Linked DNA regions of Struthio camelus. Each later gene encodes a partner of the first gene's protein in a complex. Links are inferred from orthologs where the notes say so. Each region holds a gene or a part of one and is shown on either strand. Other genes may lie near its edges.

Region 1 (8,041 bases):
TGACAACTGTTTTAAATATAATGAACCAGGTAACACTCTATTGTAGAGAAAATAAAGGCAGTGCTGCTAAGAAACGTTATTGGACAACCTCAGAAAAGAAAATTGTCTGTGCAGAAAACAGGTACAAAATAGACAGAAATAGTGCAAGCTTCTCATGTTGTCTCTGCCCTGATCTGGAAGGCGACTCGTGCCCTGAAGACAGCTTACTGACTTGTTAAACTCTGCAGTAAGATTAAAAACATCCTACTCATCTCATTTCTGGTTTCTACATATTAGATTACAACATAGACACCGAACAGGGTCTGAATCAGCAAATCGGGACTCCAGCAACTTCCCTGATCACCGAGCGCAGAACTCTACTACACCAGGTAAACCTCTTCATAAAATGATCAAACTCCACATTAAACACAGTTAAGTTTCTGGCTCCAGCACTTCCAGCTGCAAGCCCAGGGCACAGCTTCCTTCCTTTTTTGTCCAATTTTCTGTTCGTTTTATTCCCAGCTAGTTTATACCAATCAGGGTCCATCTTTTTTGTTTTGATTTGTAGCTGTGCTTTGGTAAATCAGAGAACAGGACTCACATTTTGGAGGGCAAGTCAGAGGAAATTAGAGTGGCAGATGCTCTATAAAGAAATAGACCATCGCTGCTACCTTTTTCATTTTCATTCAGTAGGATTCAGGTGGATTATCTCCACCAACAAAAAGTATTTTAAACCTTTTTTATTAAATTATATGTTTTGCTTCCACTTACAATATGTACTAACACATCAAGCAACTTACGAATCTGAATGGCCATCATTCTTTTTTTTTTTTAAATAAATAAAAATAAAGTCTTAGCATCCTCTGATTGCAAGCTGACTTGATTTATGTATTTTCTTTATGTATTTTGGAGGTTCCCAGTGATATGGCATTGGAACAAATCTTTGCTTTCCGGGCTGGCAATATACACTATGTTGCCTTGATTTTAGTCATAAAAATATACTCACCTCCCTATTATTTGCTTTTCTTTAATGTGTGCATTAAGAACAGTATACATACAGACTAAAAGCAAATAAAAAAAAGCCATGACAAATTATCCTTACGCATTTCTCTAAATGCATCAGAAAAAAATACTATTTCATCCACAAGCATAAATTCTACCTATGCAGATAATGCTATCCAAGTTCCCTAAGAAAATGTGACTACATAATATCATGTCACCTATTAATAAAAATATCCCATAGACACACTCTCAAATGCTTAAGTAATTCATATAGATCTCTACTGCAAAAAAAATTTATCTTATTTATCCCTAACACTTAAGTCATTTAAATCTGTATACAGCACAGCATTGTAATAACACGAAGACAAGCTACAAATGTTAAGACATTCAGTGCTTATAGCATGTATTATTTGGGATCCATTACAGTGTTTTGATATCCCTCAAAAAGCACAGAATCTCACCATGAAACTAGGCAATACAGAGCTGATTACATTCCAACTGAAGGCATCAAGTGGGAGTTGTATCAGGTCCTTCCAGACTTACTTTTTAAAGTGCGCAAATATCGATAGTTTCACTTTAATTTGTCAGCAAAGACGACATTTCCAAGAAGACAGAGGAAATACGATATGGCACAAGAGCTAGCACTGTGTTACACAATTCAAATATTAAAAGAAATAATATATCAACACGCACACTGCTGCGCACTGACAGGAATGTCACTTTAGGAGAATAAGAGAGGTAGGGTAGTAGCACTTTATGTAACTTACATAATCAAAATCAAAGCACTGAGTACAGTCTAAAATCCTTTGATTCGATTAAAGGTAATAGAAGTTATCTGCATGACAGCATATTTTTGTTTAGGACTAGATTTGATTTTGTATGTTACAGTTAATATGAATAGGATATGTCCAGTCGTTTTATTTTCTGCAAGTAATACATCAAGGTTTGGAATGAATATCAGGCAGCTTATTAGTTCCACATTGTTTCTTCAATTGTATTTCCTTGACATTGTCTACGCCGGCTGATAACATGAAAAAAAACCCCAATCGGGCAGCGCATGGAAGATCCGCATGTGCTGCCGTCGCTGCCACGGACATCCTTCCACTCGTGAGTGACCCCGTCTAAGCAGCAGGGCTCTCGCCCCTTCGCTGACACCCCGCTCCCTACGCGGACGCACAAGGGCAGCGACAGGGAACCGCAGGACCACCACCACCACCACCACCACCACCACCACCCCGTGTAGAAACGCTCTCGCTGCTTCCCCCTCCAGAAGACGCGGCCAGTTCCCACATTTCCCCCCCGCTGTCAGCGCTGCCGCGGACGCGCGTCCCGCCGCTGCCGGGGGGGCTGCCACAGCCGGCCCTCCACCGCCGGGCGCCAGTTCAGCGCCCCCCACCAGCAAGCACAAAACCAGCGGGAAGGCGGCGAAAGCGTGTTGTCCGTGGCGCGCCGCCTCAAGCGCACCTGCCGGGCGGCAGCCGCCGGGCAGCGCGGGGGAGGCACCGCGCTCAGCGGGAACACCGGGGCCGCCGCCGCGCTCCGGCAAGCGCCTGACAACGCGCCTTCCTCGAGGGGCCTGGCAGCCGCCAGGAGGGCCGGGCGGGCGGGAGCGCCGCGCCGCCGGCCGCGCTGCAGCCCGCGATGGCGGGCGCCCGGGCAGCGTCTCGCCCCCGCCGCCGCCGCCCCAGCCCCATCGCTGGATCCGCCACCAACTTTCCGCCGGGGAGATGCGGCCGGGCGCCCGAGGCCCGCTCTGCCGCGGCGCCGGGCCGGATTTCCAGCGCGCCGCTGCCCGCGCAGCCGTTATTCCTGTCAGGAAAAAGCCCCGCGGCCGCCGCCGCCGCCCGCCGCCCCGGCCCGCAGTGCCGCCGGCCCCTGCCGTGCCTACTCACCACAGCTTCCTCTTTAAGGGCATCAGACTGCCCCGGTTGGAGGCGGTCACCCCTATGGCCATCTGCAAGACAGTCAGGTATTTCTGATACTTCATTTTGCCGTCGCCCCCCCTGTCCCTGCCTCGTCCCCGCCGCCGCCACCGACAGAGTCTCTCCAGCCGCTGCATGCAATCATCAAATTTTTATTTCCAGGCATCTGCCGTCCCTGCGTCGCGCTTCTTCCCCTCCTCCTCCTCCTCCTCCTGCCGCGCTCCCTCTGCCTCTGCCCCCCCAGCTCACGCTCCTCTCCTCCTCCTCCTGCCGCACTCCCTCTATCTCTGCCCCCAGCTGACGCTCTCCTCCTCCGCCCCCCGCCGCGCTCCCTCCATCCCTGCTCCGCCTGACGCTCTCCTCCTCCTCCCGCCTCGCTCCCGCGCCCAGCCCTCCCCCCGCGCCGCCTCCCGCTCCCGCTCCTCGCCCCGGCCCCGGCCCGTCGCCCCTCACCTGCGCCGCCTCCCGCAGCCCGGCCCGGCCCGCCCCTCCCCCCGCACGAGCGGGCCCGCCGCGCCCGTTACCTGCGGCCGCGCGGCCCGGCCCGGCCCTCCCGCCCGCCATCAGAGCGGCGCCATGCCGCAGCCCGCCGCGCCGCTCATCCCATTAGCGCCTAGAATAGCCCCGCTTTATCGCAGTCTTCACGCCGCGCCCGCCGCTGGCGCGGCCGCCCCTGGGTCAGCTGTGCCGGGCTGCGGAGGCGAGCGCCCCCGCACCGGGGGCGGCCCCGGGGGCGGCGAGGGCCCCGCTGAGCCCCGGCGCGAGGCGAGGTGAGCGGCGGGGCGGGCGCGGAGGCGAGGCGAGGCGAGGCGAGGCGAGGCGAGGTGGGGTGAAGGCCAGGTTAAGGTGAGGGGAGGAGGAAGTTGAGGTGAGTGTGGAGATGAAGGGAAGGTGAGAGTGAGGTGAGGACGAAGGTGAGATGAGACGACGAGAACAGAGGCGAGCTGAGGAGAGGAGGAAGGCGAGGTGAGGAAGAAGGTGAGGTGAGGCTGAGGTAGCCCGAAGGTGAGGCGAGGTGACGATGAGGCAATCTGAAGGCGAGGTGAGGTGAGGATGAGCGTGAGGGGAGCAAGGGTCTGAGCAGGAGGTGAGGTGTGGAGGCAGCCAGGATGGGCCAGCAGGCCAGCGCTGCAGCGGGAGCCGTGCCACCAGCCAAGCCACCTTCAGAAAAGACTCCGGGTGTGAGGTGGCTGGAGAGCAGCTCCCCACTGCGGCACCCTCCTCCGCACCTCCCCTAAGTGACTGGGTTGTGAAGTCGCACGTGCAAAGCCTAGTGAGTCTACTGGCAAGACGACATAAACATCATTCCCTCTTCTTTCACATGAGAAAAACAACTAACGTGTGTTTGGAAATCAGATGGTGATTAAATCAAACTAAAAATATTAAATGTTTTCTAGGTGGGTGCCTGCCTCCTGGCTACTGTGACAAAAATAGCTGAAAACATAAGTGTGTAGTGGCCGTAGGTGCGACACTGAATTATCGTTACAGCATTAATCTGTTTCGCGCCTTTCTCCTAAAGTCCAGTATTAAGAGCCATAGGTGGTCATGGTTTTTGACAAGTGCATTCAGGATTCACTCTAAACCATACTACAATAAGATCAAAGAAATCCGCTACAGTACAAACATCACTGAAGTGAAGGATAGCACTTAGCTGACACATTGATCAATAGTAGTGGGAAATACTTTGGGTAAAGGCAGCATGGTGAATTCGTACTCGAACAGAAAGTTTCAAATTATGCTTAACCCACATACAAAACATCTAAAATAACATGGTAAACCTGCTAAAACAGGTAAAACTTTTTTCGAGTTGTGCTATAGAAGTTGTTCTGATGCTTCTGGTGAGAAATGGCAGTTGAGTGTCAAAAGTTTCAGTGCCTAAAGTTCTGTTGCCTCCTCCCAAGGTTATCAAAGACTAGGGGATGTTTAAGCTCTTTTGATACCGGCTGGGGCATTTTGGCAGCCCCAGTACTGTTTCAGCATGTATGCGTTTTGCAGAATGCAGGTATAAACAAATCCTTACAGAAGTGACAAGTTTTCATGAAGATGCTATCATGTAAATTGTATGAATTGCAATACTCAGAGTGGATGAATTAAGCTGGCACTGTTAACTAGGAAAAATACTGTGAACAGCATTGTCACTTTAAGGCTCAAAGATTAGAATTTCATTATTTTTCTTCCTTTTTTATAGGTAATATGTACCTAAGACTGTAGTAGACTACATTCTCCAAAGACCTGTCTGTTAAGCAGGAGACAGAGAAGATCAATATGTTACTCGTAAGCACAAAAGATTCTAATTAGAAACATATCATAGTAATTGTATTACTATGGTTAATGACTTGGACGGTTCTGTTTTTTCAGTCAAGAAACTGGAGATATATAGAAATGTCCTGAAATTCTGTGTCACAGATGATTTAAAAATTCAAATGCCAACTCAATGTCCCAACACAAGCTTGCTCATTTTTAGCTCTCAAGATACTCTTTGCAGGTTGTCTTTTGAGAGATTGAGCATTAAAAACAATGAGGGTCAGTCAACTTGAAATCATTAGGAAGGTTAAATGTAGCTAAAGCTTGAGGTATATTGAATGGACAGTCTATATCTTCTGTAGACAGATCATCAAATGAATCTGAAAACCTTTAGAGATTTGTTTTGCCTTAAAATGTGACTAGAAAGAAGAACTGTAAAACTGACATGTTGCTTTCTTCTTCTGTGTATCCACAGTCATTAGCTGACTGAAGAAATATATGGTGCCCACATAAGTAGTGGGAGAATGAGTGTGGGCTGGATTTTATTCTTGGCATCAATAGCAGAATGTTAGCTGCATTATAACTGAAACTGTTTGAATTTCACATTTCAGTTTGAATGTGATACCTAGCAGTTAGAAAAACATATATTAATCTTGTTTCATATTTGATATAGAAATTATTGAAAGAAAAATGCAGTCGTATGGTAAGACTTTCATAGAGTTATAGTGTTAGAAATTTTGTAGATAAGGCGGTCTAAGGATACAAGGGAAGCAAAGTTTCTTTGAAAGCTAATATAACAGGAAGAAGCGGGTAAGCTTTTGGAGTTCCTTACCTGATGAAGGGACTCTGAGCCCAAAACATGGCTTTTTCAATTTTTACAGTATCAGAGTTGAAACATGCATTTCTTTTCAGCATCTGTGTACAAAGGAGTTAAGAAATGCACAGGCAAAAATTTGCACGAAGACTCTATGTTGGAGTCTGGCTGCATATTCCAGTCTTTACTCGCCTTCTTCAAGAGCCTATAATTTGATTCCCATTCTTACTTAAATTGGAATTCCTAATTCTATTTACATTTGCAAAATAATTAGTTATTTCAGATTTAACTCTTATCATTTTCATTGATCATACTCTGTTAATCTGAGACTAACTTATTAATTGGTTTTGTCAGTTTTATGTATCATCATCATACTCCTTGATGCATATTGTAGAGACAAAACCAGATATTCATGAAGACATGTTATCCTCTAATTTTAATTCCTCTTCTGTTTCTGTCATACCTGCTCTGTCTTAGTGCTGCTCCATTATATGCCTCCTTTCAGGGCATCCTGTTTTAAGCACAGATCTTCTATATAGCTGAAAGAGTAAAAAGATCCTGTTTTTCTTGTCTTTCAGATGAACTGCCTATTTTTAACAGCAGTCAATCAGCAGCTTCCCGATTAGGGTAAGTATCCAAACATCCCACTGTTACCTCCGAGGCTTGTGCGGCCCCGTAGCTGAGCTATGGCCAGAATTTATACGGTAGCTATCCCTGCAGTGGAGATGCTCTGAGCATATTTACTGTTCTCTGTACAGACTCGTTCTGTCTGGCAAGATACACTCTCCTTCACTACAGGTCATAAAGCTGAAAGCAGCTTACATTTTTTTCAGACATAGCATGCGTTTTAGAAACAATTTAATTCCTATTAGATTACTTCAGGTTAATATAGTTGATTCATAGGAGTTTTTTCAGTACAAAAACAAGCAGAGCCCTATTCATTTCTTAATTTTATTTGCTCAGGTAAATTAACTGTATGCTTTACTTCACAACAAACTCTATAGTCTGTTGCTTACAATCTCTGTTGCCCTTGTCTCTTGTGAAGCCTGCCCCTGCTATGACCTTCCTGTACACTTCTTGGCTCTGAAAGAACAGACTCCTCTGTCTAGACATTTATGAGTTACAAAAGGAGTTTCTTCAGTATGACTGTTATACCTAAATAAATGTGTCTTTGACCCAAACTGCAGTCATGATAATATGTTTATTCTAGCTGGAGAGTAGGCTATTGTCAGCTGTAGGAGAGTGGCTAGCTATGACGTAGAGCAACTGAGGGCTCCCATCAGCTGCAGAGCAGCTAAGAGTAAGGGAGTATAATTGTGGCCTAAAGCTCTGTTCTCCCTGAGTTGCACCTCTCATTTTTTCAATCTGAATATCGCTAGAATATATATGAGATTCAAGGTACTTAAAAGGAAAATTTTACAGTATTATCTATTGCTGTTTTTAGAAGAGCTGGTTTCAGTAAGCCTGTTGGAATAAAAGGGACAGTAAAACTCTCGACTTTCTTTCCTTTACCATTAACACATAACACATCCCCACAGTGCCAGCTGTCACTAGGAGCCACCCCTTTCCACATGTTACCTGCATCACGCAGTCTTGACTGAGATCACATGAGGAGAAGAAATTTAGGCCTGACTCAAAAGACTCTTTTGAGACATTACAGAAATGCACTTCTTAAGGTCTAGGCTACACTGAAAGGTCTTTCAGATAATGTAATTTTTTTGCAATAATATGAGGAAAAAGAAACCCCACCTCTAGCTGGCAGAGCTGTGCTTGTGAACAATCAAAAATACTCTGTTTTATTGCTATAGTTCATTTTGTTCAGCAAACCTGTATAAGCTACATGGTCTGTAAAACAAAACAAAACAAAACAAAACAAAACAAAAAAACTCTTACCAGAATAAATGTCATCTTTATTACTACTGTAATGGCATAGCAGCAACTTTTGAGGGTAGATTAGGCTTCAATGACAGAATTTAAGCCTTTGAATGCATCAATTTCTTAGGCTGTCAAAACCATATTAGAACTAAAGCAAGCATTAAATTTGTTGCTCTTTTTATGACATATTAAATAGGAGCTTGTA
Region 2 (7,338 bases), on another chromosome or scaffold:
GTCAGTTTATTTAAATCAAAAGGTTTTCTATTACCAATAATTCAAGCTTTACTGAATCAGTGATAATATGATAGAACTTGCAATTTTACTCTATACTTTCACTATACTTTTACTATACTCTATACCTTTAATATATAATAAATAATAATAAATAATATAATAAATAATACTAAAAAAGTATTAGAGGTAGTCACTTTAACAAGAGTACAGCCAGTCATTAATTTTTTTTAATAACTTTTCAAAATTTAAGCTGATTTGAAACATGACAAAGCCGGTTTTAAAAAGCCACTGCAAGGATAAGAGAAGCTGGGTGATAAACAGAAGAATCTGTAACAAATAGTAACTGAACACATTTTCAATATGGTTGAAAAAAGTGAGATGCTCTTGTAAAATAAGTTTCATTTTAATCAACACAAGCCTTCAAACATATCTGCCAAAACTTATTATAATATGTTCATCCTTCTGTTTTGCCCAATCCTTTGCCATTTCAATTCAGAAAATGCTTACAGTCAAGGTACAGTTGTTCAAAAGAGAAAGACACTGCAAAAGGATCATTCTTACAAGGAACCGTAAAAATATTTCCAGGACAGATCTCCAAACTCAGTATAAAACTCAGCCACAGCACATGGCCATTGTGCCCAGCCTCAACGCGCAATCAACCAGCTTCAATGCACCTGAACTTTTGCTCTGAGCCCTGTAATTTCCTTACCTTGCCTTCTTCTCAACTACAGACATGGTAGAAAACCTCTGGCCATAAAAGGATCAGAGCCGGCTCCCAAATCTTGTGTTTCAGGTTATCTGCACTTACATGCTGTAAGTCACTGCATTCAAAGTACTCTTCCCTGGCTTCAAACACCAAGATCATCTCCTAGTTATGAGCTTTTACCACTGACCAGTGAGTGGAGAACAACTGATGCTATGCAGCCTGCGCATTCGTCAGACACAGAAAACATGTAATAGTACACCCCACCCACTGTCAACCCCCTGAGATCTGTTTCAGTTATGAGAACATACGAGGAGAAACACATATTGTCCCCTCTTTCTTATTCAGAGCTGCGGAAATGCTGAAGTTAATTTTAGGATTTCTGCAAATGCAGAACTTTCAGCTGTTTGTAGTCACATGGAAGGAATAAGGAATGGCATAATAATGCTCAAATTACTTGTAAATCTGTAATTTTCTTAAAAAAAATTCTTACATATCTGGCTTCGTATAGGAGATCGGAGCTTATTTGTTCCCCCAGGAAAACACAAGCGTAACTTTAACATATTCTGGGAAAGAATAAAAGATAAGGAGAATAGCATCTTCCATTTCCTTAAACACAAGTCTTGACAGAAAACAATGGCTTTCCTCTTCTAAATAATCTGAATAAAGGAAAGGTGGATTTCAGTAACTGATTCACACAGCTGATTCACTGAACATCAGTGTGAAATAGATTTCTGACCCAAAGGAAGAGAATTTTTTCTGCTAGTTCTCCTTTACTTACAGTGCGCAGAAAACATAGAAATACAGAGAACAAGAATAATCAATTGTCAAATGCATGGTTTTTGTTTTCCCCTCACCAAAGTGAGGCCTAACAGAAGCCAAAACTTTCATAACAAAATTACCATGAGCTGACAGAGGGGCAGAATGTTTCTCCTAGTACTCTGTGTCTTCAGACTGACCACACAGCAGTGTCAAATTGCACTGCTGCAGCTGAAGTTCGGTTGACATGGGGTTAACTTAGAATATCAACAGTAGTATAAGCATTTACTTGCACAAAGTAAATACACAGAGCTCATAACGAGCTACTGATTTCTAACCTTTAAAATCTTTAACTGTGGACTGAATGCTCACAGATCAAATCAAGCTCTGGGATCTGCCAAGCACCATCCTGCCAGACTGAGGGAGCGAAATGGCACTGCAGCCTTTCTAAAAGATAACTACACAGCTTTTACTCATAGATGCTCAGATATGAGGCTGTGTCTCTTAAAGAAAAAAATACCTGTTACATGGAACTAACACTTGCATCATACAAAGCAGGAAATTTTAGTATTGGATTGGTAAAAACGCTGAAGAGTCTTAACTACCAGCACCCAGGATATTTCTCTCTAATAGCAAAAAGCTGTAAATAGGTATTTTATTTCTTCATTTCGGAAGAACACACTAGAAATAGCCATGACTAAAAGCAAGCGCCACCAACCCGAGACCCAACTGCGCCCCAAACCAGTCTCCGGCGACGGCGAGAGCCCATCGCGGCCGCCCAGCTCCCTCGTACGCGGCGCCGGCCGCACGGCGGGCTGCGCCCCGCCGGGCAAGTTGGGAAGGACAAAGACGACGGCTCCGGCCGCGGGGACGCGCGGGCACGGCTGCCCCACGGCTCAGGCTCAGCGCGTTTCCCCCCCAGGGTCCGTCCCCAGCCGCCAGCCCACGGCAGACGCTTGACATAGGCACGACCGGCAGCCAGCGCGGGGCCTGCCGGCTCCGGGGCGGCGGAGGGCGCGCGGCCCCGCGGCAGCTCCCTCAGCCCCCGCCTCGCCCCAGCGGCCGCTCGGTCTCCTCAGCCTCCCCCCGGCCCAGCGGCCGCTCCGTCCCCTCAGCCCGCGCCTCGCCCCAGCTCCCTCAGCCTCCCCCCGGCCCAGCGGCCGCTCCGTCCCCTCAGCCCGCGCCTCGCCCCAGCTCCCTCAGCCTCCCCCCGGCTCAGCGGCCGCTCCGTCCCCTCAGCCCCCGCCTCGCCCCGGCTCAGCGGCCGCTCCGTCCCCTCAGCCCCCCGCCCCCTCAGCCCAACGGCCGCTCCGTCCCCTCAGCCCCCCGCCCCCTCAGCCCAACGGCCGTTCGGCCGCCGCCTCCCCTCAGCCCCGGGCTGGCGCGGGAAGTTTCCCTCGCGGTGCCCCCTCAGAGCAGCTGGGAGGGTCGGTCCCGGCTCCGGTCTCGGTCCGCGGACTCCCGCCCTCCTCACTCACGCCGCCGCCGCTGCCCCCCGCGGCTCCAGCGCATGATCCCGGCGGAGCCCCGCAGCCTCCCCTCGGCTGCCCACGCGCGCCGCCGCGGCGGGCTCGCCGACCGCTGCCCCCAACCGGGGAGGGGGCGCGGGGCGCATGCGCGCAGCCCCCCCCCCCCCCAACCCGGCGCAGCGCGCGGGAGCCCCGCGCAGGCGGCCCCGCCGGCGGCGGCGGTACGCGCGGCGCGAGGACCCGGCCGCCACGTGCCGCGGCGCGCGCGGGCCGCCGGGCGCCGCCCCCACGCGTGGCGCGCGCCCGCGCCGAGGAAACGTTTTCTGCAAAGCGGCGCCGCGTGGCCTGCAGGCCTGGCGCTGCGCACGATGCACCTGCAAGCGTCACAAGCCGCACGGGCCTGGGCGTGCTGCGCACCCCTGTGCACCCCGCCGAGTGAGCCTCGTTGCAGGAGCCGTGGCAAACCTGCCGGGGCTGGCAAGGAGCTCGGTGCCTGAGGGGAACGCGTCCACCCCTTGCACCGGGAGCGGGGCAGGCCGGGCAGGCCTGGTGGTGCAGGCGCCGCCACGCTTGTTAGCTTTGCGCCTCTCTGTGACAGCCTCGCTGGCAGGGCATCCCCAGGCTCCCCGGCTCGAGCTGCGCCCTCTGTCATCACTCCATCGGCAGCTGGTCCCCAGCTGCCCTTCCTGGGTGCTTTGGGTGCTGCCGTGGCCACGTGCCCCAGGTACAGCCTGGGTGCGTACCTCTATATACACCCTGTGCACAACCCTAAGTACGACCCTGCGTGCACCTCTGGCTGCGACCTGTGGCCAGAACGTGGGGTCACCTGCCAGCATGGGGTCGCCCCCGAAAGCAGGCTGCTGGAGAGCCATGCCTGGACGGATGGGGGCGTTCGCTGCTGGCTCCCGCTGCTGAGCCCTGGCCAGCTCATGCCAAGGATAGATCCCGCTCCCCTGGCAAGCCTGGAAACCAAGGCAGGGGAGGGCCTGCGGCTGCCAGCACTCTGCTGACTCCACGTGCTGGGGCGCAGGGAGGGTTTCCCAGCATCTTTCCAGCCAGGGGCGAGAAGAGGCAAAGGGCGAAATGGTTTTGCTAAAACACTGGCTTCGAGCTTATCCCTGCGTGCCTGGAGCGAACGCCAAGGAGGTCGCTGCTGCGAGCCTGCGGCCTGCAAGCAAGGATCAGCCACCAGGCGAATTCCAGCCCGGCCCAACGAGGCCGTGGGGTCAGGGCATTTCCCAGGGACTGGCCGTTTCCACGGAAAATTCCCAGCCGGCTCAGCAGGGTGGCTCTTGCGGCGTCACGGCTGCGAGCGCTCGCATGGCCGCTTATCTCCCCGCTCAGGCCCCCGGGTGCCGTGGGTCAGCGTTTTCCAGCCGCGCTTGCCCGCGCCGGCCGCTGGGAACGGCCTGCGTGAGAACCAGCTCCCTTCCCACGGCCGCCGAGACTGCTGCTCCAAGGAGCTGAGCCACATCCTGGCGCCCAGCCGGGGTGTAAATAGGTGCCGATGCTCCTATCGGCAGCAGGAGGGGGCTGAGCCTCCCCAGCCGGACTGCGACGAGGACGTGGTGCTGGGTCGGACGCGGGCAGCGCTGGGGCACCTCCTGGAGCTGCCCCACAGGAAAAGGCTGAGCAAAGAGATAGGGCTGGAGCCCCCCCCCAGCCGCCCCTATGCCGCTAGCCCACCCGCAGGCCACCGGTTCGAGCCCACCTGCTGCACGGATGCGATGGGGCAGCGCATCCTCCCAGGTGTGCCCGGCCAGGCTTTTGTTCACGGGCAGCGGCAGGAAATGCTTTCCTGCTGGTTTCCAAACCCTGCTGAATTATCCCATGCAATACTCTTTCCGTGGGCTGGCAGGATGCTTTTCCATGGGGCTGCTTCCTTTCCAGGGCTTCTCCATGCCTCTGTGAGCCCAGGCCTGCTGGAAACTGGGAGGCACTAGGCCACAGTGCCCTACATCGCCCTACAGCTGCCAGCTGCTGTGAGAGGGTTGGGGAAGGTCTCAGCTGCACCTTCAGGTACCTACAGCTCTGCTGCGGTGCTGCACACTGCCATGAGCCATCCCGAGCCCATCTCCGAGCAGGGATGCTCTGCGGCAAGCTGCGCTTTGGCTAACCCTTAGAGGCATCTCTGGGACTGGAGCATGATGGATGCGTGTGCTGGCAGCACACAGGCTGCTACAGCCGAATCCAGTACATCACACCGAGAAACATCATCAGCCCCTCGGCACTGACTCGGGGCAGCCTTTAAGCTGGGGCTGTGTACAAGGACTGACCCCTGTCTCTTCCTGGGCACTGCAGCCAAAGCCAGCCCTGAATCCCCAGGCTCTCCCAGCGGCTGACCAGCGCCAAGCTGCGCTCCCATAGCACCAAAATGGTGGTGGAGGGATGGTGGCAAGAAGACACAAAAGAGGATGCTTCTTGGGTTGAAAAAAAAACCCCAGCATGTGGAAATCCCAGTTTTGCCCCTAGCACAGACTCTGCGGCTGCTCTCACTGAGGTCTTCGGTCCCAGAGAGCCTCCATCCTCCTCTGTAAGGCCCTATACCCTTTGAGATGATTGCCCTGGGCCCTACAGGAGTTTAACAGCCGTGAGATACGAAGACCACAGTTGTGTCCAGACTGGCTCCTGTTCAGCTGGGAGCCCTGTGGACCTCCAGCCCCACGGCAGGGGGCTGAGCACCCTGGCTGTCTCAGCCTGAGCCCATGCTCGGGACGTGCCCAGCTCAGACCACCCGCAAGCAGCCTACATGCTGGATGGTGGATCCCAGGCAAGGGCCACAGGCTCAAGTCAATTTGGGAAGAGCCTTAGAGGTGCTGCAGGGCAGCTGCCCCTTGGGAGCAGCGCCAGGAGGCAGAGAGCACAGCAAGGTCCCAGAGCAGAGCCTGGATTTACAGCACACAGCTATCAGGGAGAGCCTCATGGGCCGCAGGGGCCAGGGACATTCCGTATTAGCCTCTTTACACCTAGCAGCATAGTCCACGCACTAAACCTCCCCCTACTTTCACAGCACAGGTTGGGGAGCAGACAAGGGGCTGAGTTAGCCAGGGAGCAGAGCAGGGAGCTAAGATAGGGGAGAGAGAGAGCACGAAAAGCCTTTCAGACCGTGGGCAGCTAATGGAATGCCCTGAAAACAGAGTTGCAGCCCCAAAAACAGTGAGAAAGGAAGAAAATCTGAGTACGGGACCAGGCAGGATGGTCTGGACTGGCTGGTCAATTAGCTACTGTAAGCAGGACATGAGAGCTGGGTCAGAATTGCTGCTGGATGCGGAGCACCTGTGGAGTGGTATGGCAGTGCCAGGAGCAGCAGGATCGGGGGCAGCAGCAAAGGCAGGGGAATCATGGCAATGGCTGCCCACTCTAAGCACCAGTGAAGGCAGAGCCTCTCCCAGCCCTCTGGTCCCTCAGAGTGACCACACAGAGCCCTGGCTGGAAGTTTGTATTAAACGTTTACAAGGGCTCAGAAAAACTTGTACAAAAAAGGTAAAATCCAGACTTCCCATTTCTCCTGGGAAGGCTGGTGGGAGCACATCCCCACAAAAAACAGCATTTTCCCCTTCCTCAAGCTGCCATAAGACATGCTCGGCTCAAGGCAAAATACCCCACTGGCAGCCAGGAGAGCGGGGCAGCGTTATCAGAAGCACGTACAGGGGCTGACCCCAGCTCAGATGCTTGACATACGTTTACACTCTGTCCCTAGTAATCTTAACATTATATTCAGGCTGCTCTGCAGCAGCAGGGGCCACACAAGGAATAACACATGTGCCTGAAGAGAGCATGTCCAAAGGGAAAACCTCCTCGCTGGAGGCCACCATTGCTGAATACTAGTAATACAAAACACATCCTTGCTCTGGGTTGCTCCTTACCCAGGGCCTGCGAATACCCAGGCAGGGAGACTTCAGCCATGGAGGAGCGATCTGAGGAGCAGTTCCCTGCCTACCAGGAGCATCCAGAAGCCCGGGCTGGGCAAGCAGGGATGGGGAAGAGCAGGCAGATGTCATCCAGGACTCAGGTCAGCCCTCACGATGCAGCAGCTGATGCAGCATGTTCACATGGGATAGTTGAGAACAACATCTTGCTTGGCCAGCTCCAGCAACATGGGGTCGTCGAAGAACTTGCTGATGCTCACGTCCTCACTCAAGCCCTGCGGAGTAATTGCAAAGCCCGAGGTAAGTGCTTATGGAGCAGGCAGCACCTGTGCAGCCACCCTGGCAGAGACCCCATTGAAAAGCCCTGATGTCCTGTAGTAAGAGCAATTCTTGGACTCCAGGAGAGGCAGGCAAATTTGCATTAGGCACTGCTCAGCAGCTTGAAGACATCTAACAGCCTTTAAGGAAGCTTCAAACATGCAGTTCCTGCAGCTGAGCATATCTACCAGCTCACTGCCCTCCTAAGGTGGAACCTGCT

Evidence for each region.
Region 2: the proteins of TJP1 (region 1) and GJC1 are in contact, whole or in part, in a crystal structure (PDB 3SHW), measured with the Homo sapiens proteins. The link is inferred for Struthio camelus from reciprocal best matches to the Homo sapiens genes TJP1 and GJC1. Residues at the interface, in NP_003248.3 of Homo sapiens: Lys429, Ser432, Val433, Gly434, Leu435, Arg436, Leu437, Gly449, Val450, Leu451, Val484, Leu487, Leu488, Leu549, Asn551, Gly552, Lys553; in NP_001073852.1 of Homo sapiens: Lys391, Thr392, Ser393, Val394, Trp395, Ile396.

Annotation. Positions count from the first base shown.
Region 1 is NC_090953.1:18,419,996-18,428,036, reverse strand, and holds the start of TJP1 (tight junction protein ZO-1), read right to left. Parts: upstream 3,047-8,041; 5' UTR 3,041-3,046; coding exon 2,874-3,040; intron 1-2,873. UniProt on the Homo sapiens protein: TJP1, TJP2, and TJP3 are closely related scaffolding proteins that link tight junction (TJ) transmembrane proteins such as claudins, junctional adhesion molecules, and occludin to the actin cytoskeleton.
Region 2 is NC_090966.1:752,636-759,973, reverse strand, and holds the start of GJC1 (gap junction gamma-1 protein), read right to left. Parts: upstream 3,049-7,338; 5' UTR 2,941-3,048; intron 2,374-2,940; exon of another isoform or gene 710-2,373; intron 1-709. Other genes in the region: EFTUD2 (116 kDa U5 small nuclear ribonucleoprotein component), read right to left, coding at 6,980-7,075. UniProt on the Homo sapiens protein: One gap junction consists of a cluster of closely packed pairs of transmembrane channels, the connexons, through which materials of low MW diffuse from one cell to a neighboring cell.